Anolis sagrei: one gene and its partners. The main gene of each other region encodes a partner of the protein of the gene in region 3 in a complex. Links are inferred from orthologs where the notes say so. Each region holds a gene or a part of one and is shown on either strand. Other genes may lie near its edges.

Region 1 (7,573 bases), on a different chromosome or scaffold from region 3:
GCTTCTCTTCGGTAAGGAATACTCACAGGGAGGTCTGCCAATTACTTCATCTGAAAATATAGCCCTCAGCACCCAGTATTCATTTGCACTTTCCTATCCAAGTACTAACCAGAGCTGTCCCTCCTTTACTTCCTAAATCAGTCAGGATCTGAGGCATCTTACTACTACTACCACTACTGTGTGGTGTATCGGCAAATAATGCATGCAGATATGAGTAGGGTGGCCTTTTGCTGCTGACAGATGGTAATTTTGTCAGCGCTGATTGTGTTCAAGTGCCGACCAAGGTCTTTAGATACTGCACCCAGTGTGCCGATCACCACTGGGACCACTTTTACTGGCTTGTGCCAGAGTATTTGCAGTTCAATCTTTAAATCCTTATATCGTGTCAGTTTTTCCAGTTGTTTCTCTTCAATCCTGCTGCCGCCTGGGATTGCAACATCGACGATCCATAATTGGTTTTTAAACACATTTGTGAGGTCAGGAGTATTGTGCTCCAAAACTCTGTCAGTCTGAATTTAGAAGTCCCAGAGTAGTTTGATGTGTTTATTTTTTGTAAGCTTTTCAGGCTTGTGATCCCACCAGTTCTTTGTTGCAGGCAGATGGTATTTGTGGCACAAGTTCCAATGAATCATCTGAGCAATGGTATTATGCCTCTGCTTGTAGTCTGTCTGTGCAATCTTCTTGCAGCAGCTGAGGATGTGATCTATTGTTTCGTCTGCCAGTCTACACTTGGGGTCTGTCATCAACTTTTCAGTCTGGCTTTGATAGCATTTGTTCTAATTGCCCATTCTTGGGCTGCAAGAATCAGGCCCTCTGTCTCCTTTTTCAAAGTTCCATTTGTAAGCCACATCCATGTTTTTTCTTTGTCAATTTGGTTCTCAATTTTTCTCAGGAACTGTCCATGGAGAGCCTTCTTTTGCCAGTTTTACCTTCTGCTCTGCCTTGTATTTTTGCGGTATTCACTCATTGTCTTTTGCACTTGAAGCAGTTTTCTACCATTGACTTCCATCAATGTTGGTTCTTGATTGCCTTTCACATAATCTGCCAGTGTATGTTTCTCTTCTTCTGCTGTTTGTTTCACTTGCAGAAGCCCTCTGCCTCCTGATTTTCTGGGCAGGTAAAATCTGTCGACATCATTACGTGGGTGTAATGAGTAGTGGACTGTCAGCAGTTTTCTTGTTTTTCTGTCTAGATCATCCAACTTTGAGTGTGTCCAGTTCACAATTCCAGCAGTGTATCTGATGACGGGGATGGCCCAGGTGTTGATAGCCTTGATTGTATTTCCACCATTTAATTTGCTCTTCAAAACTTTTCTGACCCTTTGGACGTATTTTTTGCTGACCACATTTTTCACATGCCCATGCTTGATATTGTCCAACTGTAGTATGCCCAGATATTTATAGGCTTCAGGCTGATTGCATTTTATAGTCTGTCCGTTTGGCATCTCTATACCCTTGCTGTGAGTAATTCTCCCTTTGTTTAATGCCATTGCGGCACATTTGTCTAGGCTGAACTCCATACTGATGTCAGTCCTGAAGATTCTGACTGGATTTCAGTTTCATTATTATTATTATTATTATTATTTGAAACACAAAAAGATTAGTACACAGCAAACAAGATCACTCTGTTGTGCTGGATCACACATCCAACACTTCCCTAGTAGTAGGAGTAGGAGTAGTTATTATTATTATTATTATTATTATTATTATGTGTTTTTGGTATGCAGTTTTTTCCTAACTCTATGTCCTTGAGGTTGTGGGAGGGGCTGTGGACAATGTGACCAGATCAGGGACTGTTTGGAACACAGTTAAAAGATGACAGTTGAGGAATGACCATTGAAGATGACAGTTGGAAGTTGACCGTTATAAAGGAGAGTTGTACAGAGCTGTATAGTGTTGAAGTGACTGATAAAGACTGAAAGTTAAAGACACAAACTGAAATGTTTTAGTTTAAACAAACAAGAAACATGTCTGTATATTTAAATACATGAGGTTGTGAGTAAAACAAATATGTTATTTTAAAGAAATCTACTTGATTTTTGTCTCCTGAGAGAATGGAATAGAAACAAGATATTTATGGGAGTAGATGTCTTTTGAACACTAAACAACACCTTTGAAGATCTGCTAAATATATATATTGTGTATTGGCATATTCTCTGTTGCTAATAGTTCAGAGTCACCTGGAAATCAGTCTAGCAGCTGAATTGCAAAGTATAAATACACATAGATACAATGTCTTTTCTTAAAAGATATAAAGCTTATGGTTTTCCCAATTGGTCATAATCAGAGCCCCCAGTGGTGCAGTGTGTTAAACCCTTATGTTGGCAGGACTGCTGACCGAAAGGTTGACGGTTCAAATCCAGGAAGAGGGGTGAGCTCCCACCTTTTCATGCGGGGACATGAGAGAAGCCTCTCACAAGGATGGTAAAACATCCAGGCGTCCCCGAGCAACATCCTTGCAGATGGCCAATTCTCTCACACCAGAAGCGACTTGTAGTTTCTCAAATCATTCTTGATATGAAAAAAAGGTCAAAATCCTCCATTCGGTTATGTGACCTGTGATTATCCAATAGTTAAACCATCAGAGAAAGGGGGGTGCGCCTACACTGTAGCATTAGTGCAGTTTGAGTCCACTTTAGCTGTCATGGGAGTGACAGTTTGGTGAGACACCATCAGTCTTCAGCAGAGAAGACGAAAAACTTGGTAAAATTCCCAACAAATTCCATAGCCTTACACCTCTCTGGCAAAGAGTGCTGATGTGTGAACACACTATAACTCCCAGGACTACATTGTAAGTGGTGTCGAACTGCATTAATTCTACAATGTGGATGCACGCAGGCACAACCCCACTCCCTTAAGAGCCTCAACCCAGCCTCCGCTCCCGCCTCACCTGCATGGCGACGGTGATATAAACCCTCCCGCGCCTGGGGGGAGTTCCTTTGCAGGGCTGTTTCCTCTTCCGGGTCGGGACTTCAGGAGGTCGAAGGTCCCGGATGAGGGCGGCGCCAGCCATGGCGGCTTCAGAGAGACCCGACGCGGAGGTACTCTTCTTTGCCCTGCCGCCGCTCGGGGCGAAATGGGTGGGAGGCGGCAGGGAAGCTTTGCAGGCCTTGCAGGGTGTGCATACACACGTGCAGCCAGACACGTGTGTGAAGGGTGGTTCCCAGTCCTGGCGAGCTGGTTGAAAGAGTGGGCAAAGAGTCTGCCTCCCACCTGAAACCCTGTGGCTGCCTCCTGCAGGATTCTGGGGCCTGTAGTTGAGTGAGAGCCAGGGTCTCTCTGTCTGAGGCTCTTCCCTAAACTACGAGCCCCAGAATTCTGCAGGAGGCAACCGCGGGATTTCCAAACGGGAGGCAGACTCTTTGCCTACTCCTTCAGCTCGAGTGTGATAACTTTAGTAGACGAGTCTCCTCTTTGTGGAAAAATAAAGAGGGGAGCCCTTGCCAAGAGTGTGGGACTCCAGAGCCTCGCCTGAAGGCAGGTTGAGTATCCCACAGCCAATATCCTCCAGAAGAAAGGGTGCACACACTCTAGACTTAATGCAGTTTGACAACACTTGTATTATTTATTTATTTATTTATTTATTTACTTTGCTTATATACCGCTGTATCTCAAGCCTGAAGGCGACTCACAGCGGTTCACAAACAGTAGAAACAGTAGAAACAGCAGTGGTTCCATACAACATATAACAATTGACTTAACACATTATCCATAAATTACCAATAAGCAATTACAATGCACAATTATTACAAAAAACAACCGTACACAATGTACTTCTAACCGTACTTCTAACAGCCAGGGCTCAATGCTATGGAATCATGGGAGGTGTAGTTTTACAAGGTCTTTGCCTTCTCTGCCAAAACATGCTCTTTTTTAAATCATGTCAGAAGCGACTTGAGAAACTGCAAGTTGCTTCTGATGTGAGAGAATTGGCTGTCAGCAGAGACATTGCCCAGGGGATGCCTAGATGGGTTATTTGTTTGTTTGTTTTTTGTTGTGTCAGGAGCAACTTGAGAAACTGCAAGTCACTTCTGGTATGAGAGAATTGGCCGTCTGCAAGGACGTTGCCCAGGGGACGCCTGGATGTTTTGATGTTTTGCCATCCTTGTGGGAAGCTTCTCTCATGTCCCCGCATGGAAAGCTGGAGCTGATAGAGGGTGCTCATCCACCTCTCCCCGGATTCGAACCTGTGACCTGTCAGTCTTCAGTCCTGTTGGCACAGGGGTTTAACCCACTGCGCCACCGGGGGCTCCTAGATGGGTTATCATCCTGTGGGAGGCTTCTCTCATGTCCCCGCATGGGAAACTGGACCTGACAGGCGGGAGATCACCCCATCTCACTGGAGCCCCCTGGGGCTCAGTGGGTTAAACTCCTGTGCCGGTAGGACCAAAGACCAACAGGTCGCAGTTTCAAATCAAAGGAGAGTGTGGATGAACTCCCTCTATCAGCTCCAGCTCCTCATGCGGGGACATGAGAGAAGCCTCTCATAAGGATGGTAAAAACATCCGGGCCTTCCCTGGGCAACGTCCTTGCAGATGGAAAGGAAATTCCATCTGAACATGTGGAAAAACTTCCTGACTATGAGAGCTGTTCAGCAGTGGAACTCTCTGCCCCGGAGTGTGGTGGAGGCTCCTTCTTTGGAGGCTTTTAAACAGAGGCTGGATGGTCATCTGTCAGGGGTGATTTGAATGCAATATTCCTGCTTCTTGGCAGGGGGTGGACTGGATGGCCCATGAGGTCTCTTCCAACTCTATGATTCTATGGCTAATTCTCTCACACCAGAAGCGACTTGCAGTTTCTCAAGTCACTTCTGACACAACCCAAAAAAAAGGGATTTGAACCTTTAAACCACTGACCTTTAGGGCAGCAGTTCAACCAGCACAAGGGGTTTAAGCTATTGCACTACCGTGGCTCCAGCCAAGAGTGCTGGTGCTTCACCAAATCGCAACTCCCTTGACTCCTTTGCCTGGAGCCATGGCAGTGAAAGTGTGGTGTCCAGCTGCATTAATTCTACAATATAGATCAGGCATGGGCAAACTTTGCCCCCCCCCCCCGGTGTTTTGGACTTCAGCTCCCACAATTCCTAACAGCCAAAACACCTGAAGGGCCTGAGTTTGCCCCTGCCTGGTATAGATGCCTATAGTGACATCTTCGGCTTTGTTGGTTTAATCACATGAACCTTGGTTTGTGGGAAGTTCTGGAAGGGGTGCCAGACTGCAGAAAAGATTGAGTAACCGTAATCTGATCCATGTTGGTAATTGAGAGAACAACACCTTTGGCTTTGTTGGTTCAATCACACAAACATGGTTTGAGGAGAGCTCTTGCAAAGAGTGTGGGGTCCCCATTTTGGAGTGAAAGTTTTGTAAAAGGCATGAAACCCCTGTTTTGGCGGGGAGCTCTTGTAAAAGGTGTGGGGCCCTAGTGCCAGACCTGAGTGCAGGTTGAGTATCCCCAGTACACAATACTTCAAAATGGTCAATGTGGTTTACTGATATAATAACACCTTTGTTCTATTTGCTTATTTATTTACTTTGTTTTTATCCGGCCTTTCTCTAGATATAGGGTCACATAGTGGCTAACAGCAAACATAATATGAGACAAACAGAGCAAATTCATGGGAATATAAATATTAATATTGGAAAAATTAACTTTTTCTTTATTGTTAATAATCAGAATTGAAGTACAGTAAAGCTACATTTAAAAACTACACACCCCCCCCCCCAAGACAACACACACACCATTCCCATTGGTTCAATTGCACACATATGATTTGAGGGGACCACCATTTTTAAGGGGAGCTCTTTCTAAGCATGTGGGACCCTTGGTTTGGAGAGGAGCTCTTTGCAAAGAACATGGGACCCAAGTGACAGACCTGGGTATGGGTTGAGTATCCCAAATCCAACATTCTGAAATGGCCCATGTAGGTAGCTGAGGGAGTGACACTTTTGGCTTTGCTGGATCAGTTGCACAACCATGGTTTGAGGGGAGATTTTGCAAGGGATGTGGGACCCCCGTTTTGGAGAGGAGGTTTCGTACAATGTATGAGATCTCCCTTTTGGATGAGAGCTTTTGCAAAGGTTATGAAGCTCCATTTGGAAGCTGATCATAGAATCATAGAGTTGGAAAAGACCTTGTGGGCCATCCAGTCCAACTCCCTGCCAAGAAGTGGGAAAATTGCATTCAAAGCACCCCCAACAGATGGCCATCCATCTCATCTTTGCAAAGATTGTGACCCCTCCTTTTTTTTGTGGAAAAGAGTGTTTGCAACGAATGGGGGATCCTGGTGCCAGACTTGAGTTCGGGTTGAGTGACTGAAACCTGAAATGGCCCCTAATGGCCCACGTGGATGGCTGATAGAGTGATACCTTTAGCTTTGATAATTCAATGTATATAAAAGTAGCTTCATGCACAAAGTGATATAAAAGTTTGTGTATAACAGTGATCCCCAAGCTGTTTTCCTCCAGAAGTTTTGGACTTCACCTCCCAGAAGCCTCGGCTGCCTTGATCAATCATCAGGAATTCTGCAGGGTGAAGGCCAAAACAACTGGAGGACTAGAGTTTGGTGACACTGAGGTGTAAAATTACCTTCAGATTATGCTTTATGATGTGTATATGAAGCATTTGTGAATTTCATGTTTGGACTTGGGTTACATGGTTGCACTCCAAGAAGTTTAATTATTATGTATATACAATTACTGTGGGCCTTGGTATCTGCCAGAGTTTGTTTCCAGGATCCCTGTTGATACCAAAATCCATTGATTCTCAAACCTCATCATGTACAATAACATAGTTAAATGATGTCCCTTATATAATATGGTAAAATTAAGGTTTGCTTTGTGGATTTTTTTTTGTGGGAAATATTTTCAAGGCATGGATGTTTGATTCTGTGGATACAAAGGGTTCCAAGTATGCTCTGGTTCCAAGTATTTTGGATAAGAGATACCAAATGAAAACAGAGTGAATCCTTATCTAAACCAAAAAGCAAATAAACAAGCCTCGTCAGTTTTCAACCAGACCCATCTTTCCCAAGAGTTTGCAGGAGGCCCATGAGTTACAGGCAAGTTGCCTGTTGAACAACAAGACAAAACGATTTTGGTGAATAAGAACCTGCTTGAGATTGGTTGGTGTGCAGCTTTATGAAGCTACCGTCTCTGTAAAAATAAGGGTGTGCAACTATGGCAGACTCTGGGAACACATTAGCCAACCTCTCAGGAAGTGGAGGAGCCATAGACACACATTTTTCTGCTGATGATGCAAAAACATTAAATGTTTGGCCCTAAATACCCTTTAGGGTTATGAGGACATTCCCAACTTATTTTGAGGCCTTCCTGGGGCCCCAGAGATCATTTGGGGGGCATATTGGGGCATTTTTTTTTCAATTGCAAATTTTTACCCTCCTTGTCACTACAAAAGCTGTACCACATACGCTAGGCTTTGTCTTTGCAGTAAAAGTTCTACTTCTTTGGGTGAGATGTCTGTAAGGAATGTATATATAGTGTTATTCGTTAGGGACGTTTGCACATAATACTTATCCTCTTTACAGGTGACAGCATGCTCAATTCAAGGTAGCTTTT
Region 2 (6,862 bases), on a different chromosome or scaffold from region 3:
TTTCATGCATAGAGGTTTTGCACTTTTTCATCTGAAAGGGGATTTTCAGTGTATTGTCGAAGGCTTTCATGGCTGGAATCCCTGGTTGTTGTAAGTTTTTCGGGCTGTATAGCCATGTTCTAGAAGCATTCTCTCCTGACGTTTCACCTGCAACTATGGCAGGCTTCCTCACAACCTCTGAGGATGCCTGCCATAGTTGCAGGTGAAACGTCAGGAGAGAATGCTTCTAGAACATGGCTAGACTGCCTCAAAAACTTACAACAATACAGAGATTTCCGGTGTTTGTCACCAATTTCCTTTCACAAAACCAAGGGCCCTTCCACACAGCCATACAACCCAGAATATCAAGGCAGATAATTCACAATATCTTATTTAAAGTGGAATATCTGAGTCCACACTGCCATATAATCCAGTTCAGTGTGGAAGGGGGCCAAGAGTCGACCACGGTATCCTTCTGGGACACCTCGCAGGGATGGGTCTTGGAGGAACTGTTTTGCAGTGGCTCCGGTCATTCCTGGAGGGTCGATCTCAGAAGGTGTTGTTGGGGGACACCTGTTCAACCCCACAACCATTGTCTTGTGGGGTTCCTCAGGGCTCAATATTGTCTCCCATGTTGTTTAACATCTACATGAAGCCGCTGGGGGAGATCATCCGGAGTTTCGGGGTACGGTGTCATCTGTACGCGGATGATGTCCAACTCTGTCACTCCTTTCCACCTGCTACTAAGGAGGCTGTCCAGGTCCTGAACCGGTGCTTGGCCGCTGTGACGGTCTGGATGAGGGCGAACAAATTGAAATTGAATCCAGACAAGACAGAGGTACTCCTGGTCAGTCGCAAGGCCGAACAGGGCATAGGGTTACAGCCTGTGTTGGATGGGGCCGCACTCCCCCTGAAGACGCAGGTTTGCAGCTTGGGTGTGATCCTGGACTCATCGCTGAGCCTGGAACCCCAGGTTTCGGCGGTGACCAGGGGAGCATTTGCACAGCTAAAGCTTGTGCGCCAGCTGCGCCCGTACCTTGGGAAGTCTGACTTGGCCACGGTAGTCCACGCTCTGGTTACATCCCGTGTAGACTACTGCAACGCTCTCTACGTGGGGTTGCCTTTGAAGACAGCTCGGAAGCTCCAACTAGTCCAACGCTCGGCAGCCATGATTTTAACAGGAGCGGAGCGCAGGGAGCATACAACCCCCCTGTTGCGCCAACTCCACTGGCTACCGATCTGCTACCGGGCTGAATTCAAAGTGCTGGCGTTGGCCTTTAAAGCCCTAAACGGTTCCGGCCCAAGCTACCTATCTGACCGCATCTCTGCCTATGAACCCACCAGGACTTTGAGATCTTCCGGGGAGACCCTGCTCTCAATCCCGCCTGCTTCTCAAGCTCGGCTGGCGGGGACGAGAGATAGGGCCTTCTCGGTGGTGGCTCCTCAGCTGTGGAACGCCCTTCCTACGGACATTAGACTAGCACCATCTCTAATGGTATTCCGCAAAAAGGTGAAGACCTGGATGTTTGTGCAGGCGTTTGAGTAATTTAGTGCAATCTGGTAATGGAACATAGGAATGGAACAATGGACGACGAACCTGGACTACGCTTGGATGATGAGAAGATTGGGTACGGTTGTTTTTTGTAATAATTGTGCATTGTAATTGCTTATTGTTAATTTATGGATAATGTGTTAAGTCAATTGTTATATGTTGTATGGAACCACTGCTGTTTCTACTGTTTTTACTGTTTGTGAACCGCTGTGAGTCGCCTTCGGGCTTGAGATACAGCGGTATATAAGTAAAGTAAGTAAATAAATAATAATAATAAGAGTCAGATCACTGACAAAGCAGGGAAAACTCACAACCCAATATAAGCTCACTGCTGCTCTCTGCTGCCATAAGAGAGGCATAACAGGAAAAAATATTACTGTACTTTGCAGTAACAAGGCCTTCCTTTCAAAGTATAAATAATATGTAGCATTATAAATTTCCTTGTTCAGGATCTAACTAACTAGTACTAGTACACTACTATAGATTGTCTATGCAATTTAGTCTTCATGCTGTGTTAGAAACAACAGAAAATATCTTCTGATTTTCTATATAGAAATGGGGTGATATAAAGAAAACGAATATTGCATAAAATATAAAGGAGAGAGGTGCATTATGATCTGGCAAGCTTTCATACTAATGTATATTGTTTTAAAATGCATATCTTATGTTTATGGGTTGCTTTATATATGTGTGCTTTGATTGCTGTTGTTTTGTACTGTATTTAGTATGTTGGAAGCTGCTTTGGTAGCTTCCTTCGTGGGAGAAAAGTGGACTATAAAGAAAGCACCATTAAAGCCTTGGCAGACCACGCAAAAAGAATCTGCGAACCCCACCTCCACCAAGATGAACTGAACCACCTCAACTGGGCTCTACAGGCCAATGGATACTCCACCTCAGACACCAGAAGAGCTGCAAGACCAAGAACAAGCCACGAGAGTCAAGATGAAGATCCACCCAGAGGAAAAGTGTTCCTGCCATACATCAAGGGAACCACTGACCGCATAGGGAAGCTGATGAGGAAACACAACATACAAACAATCTACAAACCCACCAAGAAAATCCAACAAATGCTACGTTCAGCAAAGGACAAGAGGGATCCTCTCACCTCTGCAGGAGTCTACAGTATACCATGCAGCTGTGGACAAGTCTACATAGGGACCACCAAACGCAGCGCCCAAACAAGAATCCAAGAACATGAAAGGCACTGCAGACTACTCCAACCAGAGAAATCAGCCATAGCAGAGCACCTGATGAACCAGCCTGGACACAGCATATTATTTGAGAACACAGAAATGCTGGACCACTCTCACAACCACCATGTCAGACTACACAGAGAAGCCATTGAAATCCACAAGCATGTGGACAATTTCAACAGAAAGGAGGAAACCATGAAAATGAACAAAATCTGGCTGCCAGTATTAAAAAACTCTAAAATTACAACAGCAAAACAACAGAGGGGAAACAATCAGGCACATCTAATCACCTCTCAACAAAATATTGCCCCAGGCACTGCCAGGCCATCAAATGCTAATCAAGGTGGTCAGTTGAAACATTCACACCTAGCTCCAACAGACAAAAGTTCTTTGTCCCACCCTGGTCATTCCACAGATATATAAACCCCTTTTTCCTAGTTCCAATAGACCTCACTACCTCTGAGGATGCTTGCCATAGATGCAGGCGAAACGTCAGGAGAGAATGCCTTTAGACCATGGCCATATAGCCCCAAAAAACCTACAACAACCCAGCGATTTATTGTCGGGTTGCTGTGAGTTTTCCAGCCTGTCTGGCCATGTTCCAGAAGCATTCACTCCTGATGTTTCGCCCACATCTATGCCAGACATCCTCAGAGGTTCTGAGGTTAGTTGGAAACTAGGTAGGTGAGGTTTATATATCTGTGGAATAATGTCCAGGGTGGGAGAAAGAACTCTTGTCTGTTTGAGGCAATTGGCCAGCTTGATTAGCTTGATTAGCTTCAAAGCCTGGCTGTTTTCTGCCTGAATTCTTGTCTGCTTGAGGCCGTTAGGAATTGTGGGAGTTGAAGTCCAAAACACCTGGAGGGCTCAAGTTTGCCATACCATACCATATGTGTATGTATTTACACGTGGGGGGAAGGGGAGGGAATCATACTCCAGAGCTCCTGATTGACGTCAGGAGCAGCCAATCAGAGAGAAGATCCTTTTCTTCCCCTGCTTCAGGGCAAATGCTCGCTCGCTTCCCTCCATCTTTGCCTCCGCGCGGCTCTCGCTGACGCCATCCCACGTCAGCCAATAGGAAAATTAGATGGGGGAGGGGCTGTTTGCCGGATGTACGTCACCAGTTGGCGAGGGAAAGGGAGGAAGGAGAGCGCAGGCGTAGGAAGCGGGGCTTCCGGTGGGAGCGCGGGTGTTTGGTGCTCTTGTTCCGTGGGGAAGCCGAAGAGAGGAGAGGGAAGCCGGCCTCGTCCGAATTGGGAGCCCGGGGCGAGCGGAGAGCTCCTCCGCGGGTGGGTGTCGCTGCCCGTCAAGGGTCTGTAAGGCTCATCCGTTTGGGATACGTCTAACACAAGCCTGGGCAAACTTGGGCCCTCCAGGGTGTTTTGGACTCCAGCTCCCACCATTCCTAACAGCCTCAGGCCCCTTCTGAGGCTGTTAGGAATGAGGCTGTTAGGAATGGTGGGAGTTGGAGTCCAAAACCCTGGAGGGCCCAAGTTTGCCCAGGCCTGGTCTGCCACATACATTTCATGCAGTCTGACACCACTTTAACTGCCTTAGTTCAGTGCTATCGAATCCAGGGTGTTGCAGTTTGTTGAGGCACCAGAGGAGGCTAAAGACCTTATGAATCCACATCTCCCATAGCACTGAGCCATTGAAGATAGGGCCCTTCTAGACAGGCTCAATATCTCAGGATCTGATCCCAGGTATTCTGTTTATCCCAGATTATCTGGCAGTGCGGACTTATATAATCCAATACAGGGAGCATACCACCCCCCTGCTGCGTCAGCTCCACTGGCTGCCGGTCCACCTCCGAGCACAATTCAAAGTGCTGGTCTTGGCCTATAAAACCCTATACGGCTCCAGCCCAGCTTACTTATCCAAACGTATCTCTCTCTACGTTCCACCTCATAATTTAAGATCTTCTGGGGAGGCCCTGCTCTCGGTCCCACCAGCGTCTCAAACATGTCTGGTGGGAACAAGGGACAGGGCCTTCTCAGTGGTGACCCCCCGCTTATGGAATTCGCTCCCCAGCAAGATTAGATCGGCGCCCTCCCTCCTTACTTTTAGGGAAAAAACTAAATACGTGGTTTTGGAACCAGGCGTTTGGCTAGTGGGCACAACAGCACTTTAGGCACTGAACTCAGACAATAGGATTGTTTGAAAATTGGAAATGGCTTTATGACCTGTGATTCTGTGATATGTCCTATGTGGTTATGCAATTTTAACTAATATCACTACTTAATTGTTATGTAATGGATTTCATATTGCTGTTTTATATTGTTGTTTTGATACTGTTGGCATTGAATAGTTGCCTGTGTTAGCCGCCCTGAGTCCCCCCTCGGGGGTGAGAAAGGCGGGGTAGAAATGGTCTAAATAAATAATAAATTTAAAGCAGAAAACCTGGGATAATGGGCCTGTCTGGAAGGGCCCTGGGACAACTGTCACTGTCTGGAGCCTGGAGGATGGCAAAGGAGGAGGGGAGGGAGGCCTTGAACCAATCTTGCAAAAAACAAAAACAGCCCGGTGATGGGGTTGCATTAGGGTCGCCAAAAGTTAGAAAGTACTTGAAGGCATACAAAAACAGTGTTTCTCAGGCTAAAGCTCCCTTTATTATTATTATTATTATTATTATTGACACAAAAGCACAGTATGTCACAGCAAACGAGATCTATATGCTGGATTTCGTATCACAAAATCACAAGTCGAACGCTTCCCAAGCGTCTAGGACTGTGTGATGTATTTTCGAATGATGCGCACAGATCCAAGTAAGGTGGCCTATTGCAATTGACAGATCGTGATTTTGTCAATGTTTATTGTTTCCAAATTTCGGCTGAGATCTTTTGGCACAGCACCCAGTGCTCCAATGACTACTGGGACCACCTGTACTGGTTTATGCCAGAGCCTTTGCAGTTTGGTTTTGAGGTCTTGATAGCGGCTGAGTTTTTCCTCAATGCGACTGTCACCCGGTATGGCGACGTCAATAATCCAGACTTTTTTCTTTCCCACAATCATGATGTCTGGTGTATTGTGTTCCAAAACTTTGTCAGTCTGGATTCGAAAGTCCCACAGTATTTTTGCAGGTTCATTTTCCACGACCTTTGCGGGTTTATGATCCCACCAATTCTTTGCTGCTGGCAGGTGGTACTTGTGACATAAGTTCCAGTGAATCATCTGAGCCACAGAGTTGTGTCTTTGTAGTCCGTCTGTGCAATTTTCTTGCAACAGCTGAGGAGATATTATCATTATCATTATTATTATTATTATTATTATTGCATTTATATTTATACCATGCTTTTTCTCTCCACAAGGAGACTCAAAGCAGCTCACGTTGGAAATGTGTTGCCTTGCCATCCTTTCAAAAACTGCAGATGGAGGGGCTCTGCTCACTTAGTGGTGGTCTCAGTGTTGTCATGTATAATGTTTTTGGCGTATTTTTATAAGTTATCCTTTTTATTCATTTATATCCATCTTTCATGGGTCTCAAGGCAGCTAACAATATATATAAGGGTACAAAAACAATTAAGCAATTTATAAACTTAAAGCATTAAAATATTAAAATGCCTTTGTGTCTGTCTGTGCCTTTGGGTCACCTGTTGACTTATGAATTTCATAGAATTTTCTTCTGTCAGGAATACTCTGCCAATTCCTTCCTCTGAAGTACAGGCTACTGCGCCTGGTATTTGTTGGTGGTCTCCCACCCAAGTATTGACCTGAGCTGACACTTAGCTTCAAGGATTGGAGGGGATCTGGTGCATTTGCAGTATGATAAACCCTTCAAAAAAGGCCTTAAAATACATGTTGATGTGATTGTATTTAAACTGTTTCTCCTTCCCTCACTGGAGCTAAAGTCCCAGCATGCATTATTTTGGGGAGAGCCCTTGAATACTATTGAATGCAAACCAAATTGGAGAATTCTCCCACAGAGAAGTTTCACCAATTTATAATGAGTTATTCAAAATACTTTTGTTGTGGTGATTTTTAAATTACTTTTTATTTCGTTCTTTTGTGTTCTGCTTAATTGTATTCTAGTGTTCTAACCTTTAAAAATACATTTCTCTTAATTTGTATTATAAGTTTCATTTTAATTTTAGTATAACATGTATTTATAATACAGATAGAAACGAGCATCTTCCCTGTC
Region 3 (7,058 bases):
TCAAGCATGGGGTGGGCAATGACAGGAAGCTAACTTTCCTTAGCTGGAGATTCCAATCTCAAAATGCTAAGGTCAATGTATGGGTCCCAACTACTCCTGGAGATGGATCCCTCCAAACCGTCTAAAAGGAGGGAAAGTTCCTGGAAGTGGCCCCTTCTCTTCCAACTTCAGACCCCTCTAAGCTGTAGGTCTCCCCAAGAATTGGTATAATGGCTTCTCTAGGGTCTGAAACGCCCCCTCGGCTACCAACTCGAGGCCCTGAGTCCTCACGAGAAGGAAGGCCACAGCTGGCTGCACTTTCTCCTTCAAGGCTGCTGCTTCCAAGTTTCTGAGGGAAAGGAGAGAGTGGTGCCGAGGCCTGGCTGGCCGCGGAGGCGCCGGGGGCCCTCGAGGGGGCCACGAGTCCCCTGCTGAGGAGCCCCCTCCGCCTCTCCCTCCGGCCGAGTCCCTAGCAAGGCCCCCACGCCGGGCCCCCCATCCTCCTTTTCCTCCTCCTCGCCCCCTCTTACTTCCCTCCACGAAACGGCGCCGCTTCCAGGTTGGGGGGAGGGGCGGGAGAGGAAAGTGAGGAGGGGAGAAGGTAAGCCGCCAACTCTCGCGAGAACACGGACAAAATTCGCCGAAGCTTCCTGTAGTAACGCGCGGGGGGCTCTTCTGCTCCGTCTTTCTCGCTCTCTCTTCTCTCTATACCTGCTCCTCCAGATATCGCGAGAGCAAGCGCGCGCAAGCTTGCTCTCCTTCCTGCCTGCCTGCCTACCTTCTGGCGCGCAGGCGCACAAGCCGAGTCTCGCGACGCTGCCCCTCAGGAAGAGAAGGGAAAGCGGAAAACCTCCTCCGCTTTCTCGAAACGGGTTTGACCTCTCGCGGGGCCGAAATCTCACGGGAACTCGTTCGAGCGTTTGAACAAAACTTTTATCTGCATGGGGACAATTGCAGAGGCTCGGCGCTGACTTGGTTGGAGAGGGAAGCTGCCACGTTTCGTTGCAAAATGGGAATTGGAAGTCCAAAATACCCGGAGGGTCCAAGTTTGCCCATGCCTGCTTTAGACGGAAAACACTGACTTTGCAGTGCTTTCCCTCTTGTGGTGACAGATTGGCCTGTCTGTCATGATAAAAAGTACACACAAAAATGTAATAACATGTCTGTAGAATATACCATGCGATGTGCAGGGCTTGATGAATGCAAGGCTGGGGTTAAAATGGCTGGAAGAAACATTAACAAACTTAGATATGCAGATGATACCGCTTTGATGGCAAAAAGTGAGAAACTGAGGAGACTTCTAATCAAGGTGAAAAAAGAAAGCGCAAAAGCTGGGTTGCAATAACACATTAAAAAAAACAAGATTATGGCAACAAGAATGATTGACAACTGGAAAATAGAGGGAGAAAACGAGGTCATGGCAGACTGTATTTCTATGCGCAAAAATTAACTGCAGACGCAGACTGCAGCCAGGAAATCAGGAGATGCTTACTTCTTGGGAGGAGAGCAATGTCCAATCTTGATAAAATAGTGAAGAGTAGAGACATCACACTGGCAACCAAGATCCGCATAGTTAAAGCAATGGTATTCCTCATAATCACCTATGCACGTGAGAGCTGGACCATAGGGAAGGCTGAATTTCCTGAAGTATGGACTGGTTGGATCTTCTCACTGTCCAAGGCACTCTCAGAACTTTCCTCCAACACCACAGTTCAAAAGCATCTATCTTCCTTTGCTTAGCCTTCCCTATGATCCAGCTCTCACATCCGTAGGTGACTAAAGGGAAGACCATTGCTTTAACTATGCAGATCTTGGTTGCCAGTAGGATGTCTCTACTCTTCGCTATTTTATCGAGATTGGACATTGCTCTCTTCCCAAAAAGTAAGTGTCTCCTGATTTCCTGGCTGCAGTCTGCTTTGCAGTAATCTTTGTTAGTGTTTAGAGCGGAAGTATTTGCACAGGCTTGGTAGAAATCATAGACTCTGCAGTTATCTTTGCACCTAAAAATACAAAGTCTGTCACTGCCTCCATGTTTTCTCCCTCTGTTTCCCAGTTGTCAATCATTCTTGTTGCCATAATCTTGGGGTTTTTTTATGTTTAACTGCAACCCAGCATTTGCGCTTTCTTCTTTCACCTTGATTAGAAGTCTCCTCAGCTCCTCCTCGCTTTTGGCCATCAAAGTGGTATCATCTGCATATCTATGGTTGTTAATGTTTCTTCCTGCAATTTTCACCCCAGCCTTGCATTCCTCAAGCCCCGCACATCGCATGATGTGTTCTGCCTACAAGTTGAATAGGTTGGATGAGAGTATACAACCCTGCCATACACCTTTCCCAATCTTGAACCAGTCTGTTGTTCCATGGTCAGTTCTTACTGTTGCTACTTGGTCATTATACAGATTCCTCAGGAGAGAGATAAGGTGATTTGGTATCCCCATACCACCAAGAGCTTGCCACAATTTATTATGATCGACACAAAAGCTTTAGAATAGTCAATAAAACAGAACTCAACCATTATATTGTAATATAAGAAAAAGGAATCTGCGAACCCCACCTCCTTCAAGATGAACTGAACCACCTCAACTGGGCTCTACAGGCCAATGGATACTCCACCTCAGACATCAGAAGAGCTGCAAGACCAAGAACAAGCCACAAGAGTAAAGATGAAGATTCACCCAGAGGAAAAGTGTTCCTGCCATACATCAAGGGAACCACTGACCGCATAGGGAAGCTGATGAGGAAACACAACTTACAAAGTATCTACAGACCCACCAAGAAAATCCAACAAATGCTATGTTCAGCAAAGGACAAGAGGGATCTTTTCACTTCTGCAGGAGTCTACCGTGTACCATGCAGCTGTGGACAAGTCTACATAGGGACCACCAAACGCAGCAGCTCCCAAACACGAATCAAGTAACATGAAAGGCACTGCAGAATACTTCAACCTGCGAAGTCAGCCATAGCAGAGCACTTGATGAACCAACCTGGACACAGCATATTATTTGAGAACACAGAAATGCTGGACCACTCTCACAATCACGATGTCAGACTACACAGAGAAGCCATTGAAATACACAGGCATGTGGACAATTTCAACAGAAAGGAGAAACCATGAAAATGAACAAAATCTGGCTACCAGTATTAAAAAAAACTCTAAAATTACAACAGCACAACAACGGAGAGGAAACAAACAAGGACATCTAATCACCTCTCAACAAAGGTTTGCTCCAGGCACTGTCAGGCCATTATATGCTAATCAAGGTGATCAGTTGAAACATTTACACCTAGCTCCAGCAGACAGGAGTCCTTTGTCCTACCCTGGTCATTCCACAGATATATAAACCCCTTTTTCCTAGTTCCAACAGACCTCACAACCTCTGAGGATGCTTGCCATAGATGCAGGTGAAACCTACAACAACCTATTGTAATATTACATGTAATATTACATGTAATATAAATATATAATTATAATATTGTATTAATGTATTGTCGAAGGCTTTCATGGCCAGAATCACTGGGTTGTTGTAGGTTTTTTCGGGCTATATGGCCATGTTCTAGAGGCATTCTCTCCTGACGTTTCGCCTGCATCTATGGCAAGCATCAGTACCTCTAAGGATGCTTGCCATAGATGCAGGCGAAACGTCAGGAGAGAATGCCTCTAAAACATGGCCATATAGCCCGAAAAAACCTACAACAACCCAATTGTATTATTAGTATTATATTGTTTTACATTATAATATATATTACATGTATATACAATATATTGGATTATTAGTAAAGTACAGGAAATTGCAGCATGAACTGTATTATATGATCCAGGCTTGGGCAAACTTCGGTCCTCCGGGTGTTTTGGACTTTGTCTAAAGCGAAGGAATTGCATTGGACGTTTTCCTGATGGGTGAAAGAGCGTGACCTGTTTTGTTTGTTTATTTTTTTTTTTTCAAGGGAGGTGGAAATGAAAGCCTCGCGAGAAGTGCTTTCTGCCGCTAGATTGGCTGACTTCCCACGCGCCGCGGCTTCTCTCGCGCTTGTTGCTCTCCACCTCCGGTTTCCCCTCCCAAATCCCGCGAGAGCTGGAAATCTCACGCGGACGCCAGTGGGATGGTGCCTTGCGCGCGCCTCGGGTCTTCTCCTCCGAGCGGGAGACGGGCCTTCCTTCCCCGCCGCATGAGGGAGGGCGGAGCGGGGCGCCGGGCCCCTCTCCTTCCCTGCCTGCCGCTCCGGTGAAGGATGAAGGCCGCCCAGGGCGCCTCGGAGGGTGAGTGAGTCACGCCGGCCTGGGAGTGACACCAAGGCCTCAAAGTGGGAGCACTCCCAATAAAGGCTGCGTTCAGAAACCCCACAAAGAGCCTTGTGTGAGCAAAGCTCAGGTGTGCAGGGCCGTACAGGCGAAGTATCTTATATCCCAAATGAGTTCGCCCCACAAGTGTTTGGAATCTCGGATTTTTGAGGCTTGATCTGCACTATTATATAATGCAGCGTGAACCGAATTATATGATCCAGGCATGGGCAAACTTAATCCCTCCGGGTGTTTTGGACTTCAACTCCCGCCCTGCGGTTAGGAATTGTGAAGTTGAAGTCCAAAACACCCGGAGGGCCCAAGTTTGCCCATGCCTGCTTTAGACTGAAGCTTTATCAACTGACTTTGCAATATTTTGCCTCATACGATGTCTTGTCTGTCATAAAAAGTACAAGCAGAAGTTGAATCACATATAAGACTACAAATAAGACTCTCCTGTTTTTCCCAGGAGCTTGGTTCATGCATTCATCTGTCAGTCATTAAGGGATGGACACATTTGTGAATTGGTCCTCTGAGTAGCATTGATCCACAAAGCTGAAACTGTAGATGTGAACATTATACAGAGTGAGGCAGCATAACTTCCCTTTTTCAAGACTTAATAAAACCCATTGTAAGAATCAGAATATTTTTAATATAATGTAGGCGCATACCTAAAGTTTTGTTTTACGTAGTTTTTAAGATCAAATTAGGCAGGTGACGTCCCTCATTCTCCATACACTGAGTAAACCGATTTCTGGCATTTGTCATGACTCTTACCAGCATAGCAGGCGTTATGTTGGCAGTTTCTTCCTGGATGTTGGTCTTCAAATCTTTTAGGGTCCTTGGACAGTTCACATAAACACGGGATTTCAAAAAGCCCCATAAAAAAAATCACAAGGGGCCAATGCAACCTGAGTCCTGCCACATGCACAATGGAGGACCTTCTTGCAGCAACACCAGAAGCACTCCAAGTGGCCAGATACTGGTCAAAGGACATTTAATCAACTACCAAATTCACAAATTTTGTATTTTGTCTGTTTGTTTGTTTGCTTTGTTCTGTTAGAAATGTAATATAATTGCCTGGTTGCTGATGGCTCGATAAATAAACAAGGGGCCAAATCTGGAGAGGAGGCCAGCCACTCCCAAATCCGCTCAAAAAGTAGGCCTCAACAGCAAAAGCACGCTTCTCACTGTTCCAACGCATGATGGCGACTGAACTGTGTCAGGACAAAACTTTATACTCCCGCCTCTCGAACAAGACCCCTAGCGCTCCTCTACGTTTTCAACCGCCTGAATGGCGCGCATTTTAAAAAAGGAAGTTATGTTGCCTCACCCTGTATTTGCTACCACTTCCGGTCCAGTAGACTGCATCAACGACCCAACGGCTGCTCTGGCCAGAGCGAAGACAGAGGGGAGCAGAAGACGTTTCCATCTTGTCTTTACTAATAATCTAATATAGTATATTGTATATACATATAATATTTATAATATTATAATGTAATACAATATAATACTAGTAATAATAATATGATATTATAATTATATATTTACACTAATAATATTACAATATAATGGTATAGTGCAATAAAGTAATATATAATACTGATATTGTACTATGCTAATAATATAATATATTGTATGAAAATATATATTGTAAGCCACTCTGAGTCCCCTTCGAGGTGAGAAGGGCGGCATATAAATGCCGTAAATAAAAAAAATCAAGAATTTCTCCCCTGTCTGGCTTGGGCCTTGTAATCTATCCACCTTTCCCTTTAGTATCCACCTTGACTTGGTCCTCTGCAGATGCTGTTCCATACTAGATCTCTGCTTAATGAGTACTGTACTGTAATTTAGTTTCTGTGAATAGTTAGAAGGCCCTTCCTTTAGACCAGCCATGGGCAAACTTCGGCCCTCTGGATGTTTTGAACTTGAAATCCCAAGCAACTTACTGGCTGTTAAGAATTGTGGAAGTTGAAAACACCTGGAGAACCCAAGTTTGCCCATACCTGCTTTAGACTGAATAGCTGACTTTGCAATGATTTGGAAGTTATGCTGCCTCACCCTGTATGATATTTGGTAGCAGAGATTATGGCACACTCAGGTAGAAACCAGAATAGAAATATCACTCACTCCCCCAAGCACAGGTAAAAGAACCAAACTTAAGTTAAAGTGTAAAGGGATACTTGACACATAGTTTCAGCGTTTTCAGGTATGGTGAAAGTGTCAGGAAAACAAGCATGTCATCAGCTTTGACTGTTTGACTTCAAGAGTATTCATAGCTTCTTTGAGTCTCTGTTAAGAAAGAACAGTGGCATAAAAATAAATGTAATTATACAGGAACACTTGCTCACTATGTGCTTCATAGTGAGGGGTCACGATGAAAAAAGATGAGTGGGCAAACCCATGCTGTTCCTGGGGAGAAAAGTAGTATGCATGGGACTTAGGAAGAAGGGGTGTGAGCAAGCAAACAATCAACATGCTTTTCTAAACATCCATAGGCTATACCAGTGAGTTCAGCATGCTCTGCCCAGAAAGCGGCACAGGACTACAATGAAAGTAAAAAAGCGCAAATAAAGAAATTGTGTTTATTTCAGATAACACCTCTAGAAATTTCTAGGTGTTCCAACATGACTCTATGGGCAACTTCTGTTGGAAGGTAATCATACAATTGGGTTAGGGAACCCAAAAATTTCTAGAGATCTTAATGTATAAAAATTGCTTGGTCCTCCACCATGATTGGAAGAAGTTGACCACAGAGTCACATTGGAGGGTCTAGAGATTCTTAGAACATTTAAATCAAA
Region 4 (6,993 bases), on a different chromosome or scaffold from region 3:
CTAGATTTATACCATTCCTCTCAAATTCAACAATAAGGTTCACTTGCCTTCTGTAGGATTAGTAGGTTGATCTTTGTTTATTGCAGTTTGTATACTGCTGAACGATGCTGGTGGGGCACACTGCTGAAGTACTCCAATAGCATTACAAAACTGATCTGCAAGCTGTAAGCAATCAAATAGAATTACTTACTCGTTAGTACATCACAACAAATGCAGATGTACAATCATGCGGAAGTAAAGTTGTAGGCTTTTTTTGTATGCAAATACTGGATTGAAAAGCTATCATCATAGCCTTCTCCTATATGCCCCTTTATTAAGCATCAAGATTTTTCTAATATGGATAAAAAAAGAGAATTGGGAGGTTATAGGCTTGTTTTAGTGGAGTTCCTTGATTAATATATATATTGGTTTAAAAGTTCTTGATGGTTGAAAAAACTATCTATCAGTCTTCGAATGCAGTTCGAATGCAATGTTTCTTATAATGGTCTACTATTAGGGGAACTTGAACTAGACACAGTGTTTGAAAGGTTTGGTACCCCATGGTTTTGTGATAATATCTACACAGTGTCCAGAAAATGTATACAAAGTTTTAAAAAGCACTCAATTTCAGTTAAACACCCCCAAAATAATACAAATATCCTACTACTTTGTTGGAGAGGATATGATGAACAGGTTATCAAATGGAGGGGGAGGAAAATATCATGAATACACACATACAGTTGAACAATTTGTTACATCAAGTTTGTAAGTATCATTGGTGGCGGCCTCCTCCTCACCGCCTCTGCTGCTCCCGGCCTTGGAAGCCCCTTGGGCTCCGTTGATGGCACTGCCGGGCTGGGCTGAGGCCTCAGACCAGCCTGGCAATGCCATCAACGGTGCCCAAGGAGCATCAGAGGCCGGGAGCAGCGGAAGTGGTGAGGAGGAGGCGGCTGTCGCTGAGTGGGCAGATTTTCACTTATCGTGGCTGGCCCTGAAACGGAACACCCGCGATAAGTGAGGGAACACTGTAATTCAGTTTGAAGCAGATAATCTGTTAGGTTTTGAGACTGCTGTTTATGTATTGTTTTTTTTTTGCCTTGGCTTTTGTATTGCATTTTATTTTTTGTTAGGTTTTTGATATTGCAGTTTATGAATTATGTTTTATTTTTGCTTTGGTTTTTGTACTGTTTTCTTTTTTGCAAGCCGCCCCGAGTCCTGTTTGGAGAAGGGGTTGGATATAAATAAACACAATCATAACGATAATTATTATTATTATGTAGATGGGACCTGAATCAATTTAATTTAGGCTGCTTCTACACTGCCATATAATCCAGATTATAAAATCAGATAATTCACATTATTTGATTTGAACTGGATTAAACGTCAGTTTAGAAGGAGCCTGAGGGCCCTTCCATGCAGCCATAAAACCCAGACTATGAAGGCAGAAAATCACACAATATTTGCTTTGAACTGGGTTGCCTGAGTCCACACTGCCATATATTCCAGTTTAAAGCAAATAATCTGAATTTTATTCAGCTGTGTGAAAGGGACCCGAGTCTACACTGCTATATAATCCTGTTCAAAGCAAGTAATCTGGGAGTCCTTTTGGACCCTCTGCTGACCATGGAGGCCCAGGTCTCTGCTGTTAGCAGAACTGCCTTTTTTCATCTGCGGCAGGCTAGATGGCTGTCCCTACCTGTCTAGGGATGACCTAGCTATGGTGATCCAGGCTACAGTCATCTCAAGATTGGACTACTGTAACGCCCTCTACATTGGCCTTCCTCTGTCGATGATCCGGAAGCTCGAGTTGGTACAAAATGCAGCTGCTCGGCTTTTTGCGGGAATTCCGATGAGATGCCACACAACACCAATCTTACTGCAGCTGCATTGGTTACCAATTGAGCACCTGATCACTTTCAAAGTGATGGTACTCACCTTTAAGGCCTTGCATGGTCTAGGGCCAATGTACCTGAGGGACTGCCTCACCCCCTACCAACCCCAGAGATCCCTCTGTTCTGAGGACCAAGATCTATTGGAAGTCCCCAGTGTCAAGACCTTGCGTCTAACAGCAACCAGACACAGAGCCTTCACAGCAGTGGCACCATCACTCTGGAATACTCTGCCACCTGAAGTCCGTGCCTTGCGGGACTTACCAGCTTTCCGCAGGGCATGTAAGACATACCTGTTTTGACAGGCTTTTAATGTTTGATATTGCTGTTTTTAAATTGTTTTAAATTGTTTTAAAATTGTGTTCGATTTTAGCCTATTCTTGTAAGCCGCTCTGAGCCCCAGGGGAGTGGCGGCATATAAGTTCGAATAATAAATAAATAAATTTTACATGGTAGTGTAGAAGGGGCCATCATTTGTGTCAGCCACAAAAACAAAATTTCTGGAGTAGAGCAACTGCTTTCAAAGTACCGCACAATTAAACAAGAAATATCACTTTCAAACTAGGAACAGAAAAATTCTCAAATTTTGTGACATGGTGTAAGTATTTTGCTAAACTCATTGTGGGCCCTGTCACTCTACCTGGCTACGGCGCTCTCACTCCACTTCAGCTGCCATGGCAACATCCTGTGGAACCCCAGAGTTTTGAAGTTCAGTGAGACCCAAAGGCTTTCTGGTGAAAACGTCTAAGTTCTTCAACACTGCCTATCCAAGAATGTCATACAGTGCTGCCATAGCAGTTGAGATGGAATAACAGCTTGACAAAATGTGGTCTGAAGGAGAGTAAGAACTAAGAAAAGGGCGAGAGAGTGGCCATTTCTACTCAGGGATTTATTTAGTAGAAGCCATCCCTAGAGCAAATTGCCTTTTTTTCTCTCCTTCCAATAAAAATAAATACAACTCCAACTTTCCAGAGAAGGGGGAAGACCAATGGCCCATGCATGCATGCATGCATCCTCCTCGTCAACTCACCGAATTGACGGCGTCTTGCAGCTGAGTGAGGCGATCCGCCATCTTGGAAGCAGCGACCAACACAAAGCCACGCGAGAGCCAATGGGAAGCTCCCGGCCAATCCCGAGGAAAGGGCGGGAGGTGGCGTTGCTAAGCAACGCCGTGACGCGCTGGTCCAATCCGGAAGATTGTAAAGTATTGATTCTGTGGGTGACGAATGGGATTCTTTCAACTGCGCCCTCTGTTGGATGGGAAAAACCTCCTTCTTGCAAGGGAAAGCAGTCCCTTCAGGCCTTTCCAGTGTTTACCTTTGCCTTCCTGTGAGGCACCCAGTCTAGCACGGATTCAGACCCTGGTTTCCAGAGTCGTAGCCGAGCATTGCAACACACCCAAATACCTGGGAGTCACTCTGGATCGTGCTCTGACCTACAAGAAGCACTGCCTGAACATCAAACAAAAAGTGGGCGCTAGAAACAACATCATACGAAAGCTGACTGGCACAACCTGGGGATCACAACCAGACACAGTGAAGACATCTGCCCTTGCGCTATGCTACTCTGCTGCTGAGTATGCATGCCCAGTGTGGAACACATCTCACCACACTAAAACAGTAGATGTGGCTCTTAATGAGACATGCCGCATTATCACAGGGTGTCTGCGCCCTACACCACTGGAGAAATTACACTGCTTAGCCGGTATTGCACCACCTGACATCTGCCGGGAAGTAGCAGCCAATAGTGAAAGGACCAAGGCAGAGACATCTCCAGCTCATCCCCTGTTTGGGTATCAGCCAGCACGTCAACGACTTAAATCAAGATCTACAGAGACACTCGCTGGAACACCCCAGCAAGCGAGAGTCCAAAAGTGGCAGGCCCAAACCCAGCACCTCAATCCATGGGTGATACCAGATGAGAGACTTCCTCCTGGGCACTCAGAAGACTGGGCGACTTGGAAGGCGCTGAACAGACTGCGCTCTGGCACCACGAGATGCAGAGCCAATCTTAAGAAATGGGGCTACAAAGTGGAATCCTCGACATGTGAGTGTGGAGAAGAGCAAACCACTGACCACCTGCTGCAATGCACCCTGAGCCCTGCCACATGCACAATAGAGGACCTTCTTGCGGCAACACCAGAGGCACTCCAAGTGGCCAGATACTCGTCAAAGGACATTTAACCAAATACCAAATTTGCAAAATCTGTGTGTTTTTTTTCCTTTTTCTTTTTAATCTGTGTGTTTGTTTTGCTCTGTTAGAATTGTAATACAATGGTTGCTGATGACACGATAAATAAATAGCTGATCAGTTTGAGCTGAGCATCTCTTATCCAAATTGCTATACCCCAAAGCCCAAATTGTCTACATTTTGGGCTGAGATAGTGTAACATTGGATTGCTGATATATACAAACCTTTGGGTTGTTGTAGTTTTTTTCGGGCTATATGGCCATGGTCTAGAGGCATTCTCTCCTGATGTTTCGCCTGCATCTTTGGCAAGCATCCTCAGAAGTTGTGAGGTCTGTTGGAACTAGGCAAAAGGGTTTATATATCTGTGGAATGACCAGGGTGAGACAAAGGACTCTTGTCTGCTGGAGCTAGGTGTGAATGTTTCAACTGACCACCTTGATTAACATACAATGGCCTGACTGTGCCTGGGACAAACTTTTGCTGAGAGGTAATTAGATGTCCCTGCCTGCTTCCTCTCTGTTTTGCCTAGTTCCAACAGACCTCACCTCTGAGGATGCTTGCCATAGATGCAAAAACTAAGGCCGGGCCAAATGTAATGATTAAAAATTTAAATAATGCTGGGCATGACAGGTGAAATGGATAGTTTTTTGGAGATAGGTGCGATGTGCAGACAATCTTAAATCTCTAGTAAAGTGCTAGGAGTTTCCTATTCTGGAAAGGCACACTGGAACAGCTATGTCTTCAAGCTCTTCCTAAAGACTGCCAACATTGGGGCTTGTCTGATGTCCTTCGGGAGAGAGTGCCAGAGTCAGGGGGCCACCACGGAGAAGGCCCTGTCCCTCGTCCCCACCAATAGCGCTTGCGATGCAGGTGGAATTGTGAGCAGGGCCTCTCCAGATGATCGGAGAGATCGTGTGGGTTCATATATGGAGACGCGGTCACGCAGGTAGGCAGTTCCCAAACCGTTTAGGGCAGTTTTTCTCAACCTTCCTACTGCCGTGACCCCTTAATACAGTTCCTCATGTTGTGGTGACCCCTAACCATAAAATTATATTTGTTGCTACTTCATAACTGTAATTTTGCTACTCTTACGAATTGTAATGTAAATATCAGATATGCAGGATGCACTTTCATTCACTGGACCAAATTTGACACAAATACTCAATATGCCCAAATTTGAATCCTGGTGAGGTTGGGGGGATTGATTTTGTCATTTGGGAGTTGTAGTTGCTGGGATTTATAGTTCACCTACAATCAAAGAGCATTCTGAACTCCACCAACGATGGAATTGAACCGATCTTGGCATACAGAACTCCCATGACCAACAGAAAATACTACAAGGGTTTGGTGGGCAATGATCTTGAATTTTGGAGTTGTAGTTCACCTACACCCAGAGAGCACTGTGGACTCAAACAATGATGGATCTGGACCAAACTTGGCATGAATACTCCATATGCCCAAATGTGAACACAGATGGAATTTGGGGAAAATAGAATACTCAGTATGCCCAAATGTGAACCCTGGTGGAGTTTGGGGAAAACAGACCTTGACATTATAGAGTTGTAGTTGCTGGGATTTATAGTTCACCTACAATCAAAGAGCATTCTGAACACCACCAATGATAAAATTGGGCCAAACGTCACACACAGAACCTCCATGACCAACAGAAAATATTGTATATTCTGATGGTCTTCGGGGACCCCTCTGACACCCCCTCCCGACCCCTCCCAGGGGTCCCGACCCCCAGGTTGAGAAACACTGGTTTAGGGCTTTGTAGGTAAGCACCTGCACCTTGAATTGGGACCGGAATATGAACGGCAGCCAATGGAGTTCCTTGAACAGGAGGGTGGACCTCTCCCTGTAAGGAGCACCAGTTAACAACCTGGCCGCCGCCCGCAAATGCTTACTTTGCGTAATGGGTTGAGCCGCCCCTGCCCCCAGGCAGCAATCAGCCAGGCTTTGAAGCTGCAAGGCTACTTAAAGCTGCAAGGCTACTCAGTGCTGCAGGGTTCTGTCCTGGGCCCGGTCCTCTTCAATATCTTTATTAATGACTTAGATGAAGGGTTACAAGGCAGGATCATCAAGTTTGCAGACGACACCAAATTGGGAGGGATTGTCAATACTCCAGAGGACAGGAGCAGGATTCAAAACGATCTTGACAGATTAGAGAGATGGGCCAAAACTAACAAAATGAAATTCAACGGGGACAAATGCAAGATACTCCACTTTGGCAGGAAAAACGAAATGCAAAGAAACAGAATCCCTGGTTCGAGAGCAGTACGTGTGAAAAAGATCTTAGGGTCCTCGTGGACAACAAATTAAACATGAGCCAAAAATGTGATGTGGCGGCAAAAAAAGCCAATGGGATTTTGGCCTGCATCAATAGGAGCATAGTGTCTAGATCTAAGGAAGTAATGCTACCCCTCTATTCTGCTTTGGTTAGACCACATCTGGAATATTGTGTCCAATTCTGGGCACCACAATTCAAGAGAGATATTGACCAGCTGGAATGTGTCCAGAGGAGGGCGACTAAAATGATCAAGGGTCTGGAGAACAAGCCCTATGAGGAGTGGCTTAAGGAGCTGGGCATGTTTGGCCTGAAGAAGAGAAGGCTGAGAGGAGATATGATAGCCATGTATAAATATGTGAGAGGAAGCCATAGGGAGGAGGGAGCAAGCTTGATTTCTGCTTCCCTGGAGACTAGGACACGAAACAATGGCTTCAAACTACAAGAGAGGAGATCCATCTGAACATGAGGAAGAACTTCTTGACTGTGAGAGCTGTTCAGCAGTGGAACTCTCTGAGTGTGGTGGAGGCTCCTTCTTTGGAAGCTATTAAACAGAGGCTGGATGACCATCTGTCAGGGGTGATTTGAATGCAATATTCCTGCTTCTTGGCAGGGGGTTGGACTGGATGGCCCATGAGGTCTCTTCCA

Evidence for each region.
Region 1: MED1 (region 3) and MED8 share a complex: the UniProt entries of both Homo sapiens proteins name them as parts of the mediator complex. The link is inferred for Anolis sagrei from reciprocal best matches to the Homo sapiens genes MED1 and MED8.
Region 2: MED1 (region 3) and MED7 share a complex: the UniProt entries of both Homo sapiens proteins name them as parts of the mediator complex. The link is inferred for Anolis sagrei from reciprocal best matches to the Homo sapiens genes MED1 and MED7.
Region 4: MED1 (region 3) and MED21 share a complex: the UniProt entries of both Homo sapiens proteins name them as parts of the mediator complex. The link is inferred for Anolis sagrei from reciprocal best matches to the Homo sapiens genes MED1 and MED21.

Annotation. Positions count from the first base shown.
Region 1 is NC_090024.1:182,943,209-182,950,781, reverse strand, and holds the start of MED8 (mediator of RNA polymerase II transcription subunit 8), read right to left. Parts: upstream 3,013-7,573; coding exon 2,890-3,012; intron 1-2,889. Other genes in the region: KICSTOR complex protein SZT2, read left to right, coding at 2,993-3,040. UniProt on the Homo sapiens protein: Component of the Mediator complex, a coactivator involved in the regulated transcription of nearly all RNA polymerase II-dependent genes.
Region 2 is NC_090022.1:80,580,723-80,587,584, forward strand, and holds the start of MED7 (mediator of RNA polymerase II transcription subunit 7), read left to right. Parts: upstream 1-3,838; 5' UTR 3,839-4,036; intron 4,037-6,862. UniProt on the Homo sapiens protein: Component of the Mediator complex, a coactivator involved in the regulated transcription of nearly all RNA polymerase II-dependent genes.
Region 3 is NC_090026.1:43,431,868-43,438,925, forward strand, and holds the start of MED1 (mediator of RNA polymerase II transcription subunit 1), read left to right. Parts: upstream 1-4,050; 5' UTR 4,051-4,208; coding exon 4,209-4,236; intron 4,237-7,058. UniProt on the Homo sapiens protein: Component of the Mediator complex, a coactivator involved in the regulated transcription of nearly all RNA polymerase II-dependent genes.
Region 4 is NC_090025.1:91,890,488-91,897,480, reverse strand, and holds the start of MED21 (mediator of RNA polymerase II transcription subunit 21), read right to left. Parts: upstream 3,006-6,993; 5' UTR 2,941-3,005; coding exon 2,899-2,940; intron 163-2,898; coding exon 48-162; intron 1-47. UniProt on the Homo sapiens protein: Component of the Mediator complex, a coactivator involved in the regulated transcription of nearly all RNA polymerase II-dependent genes.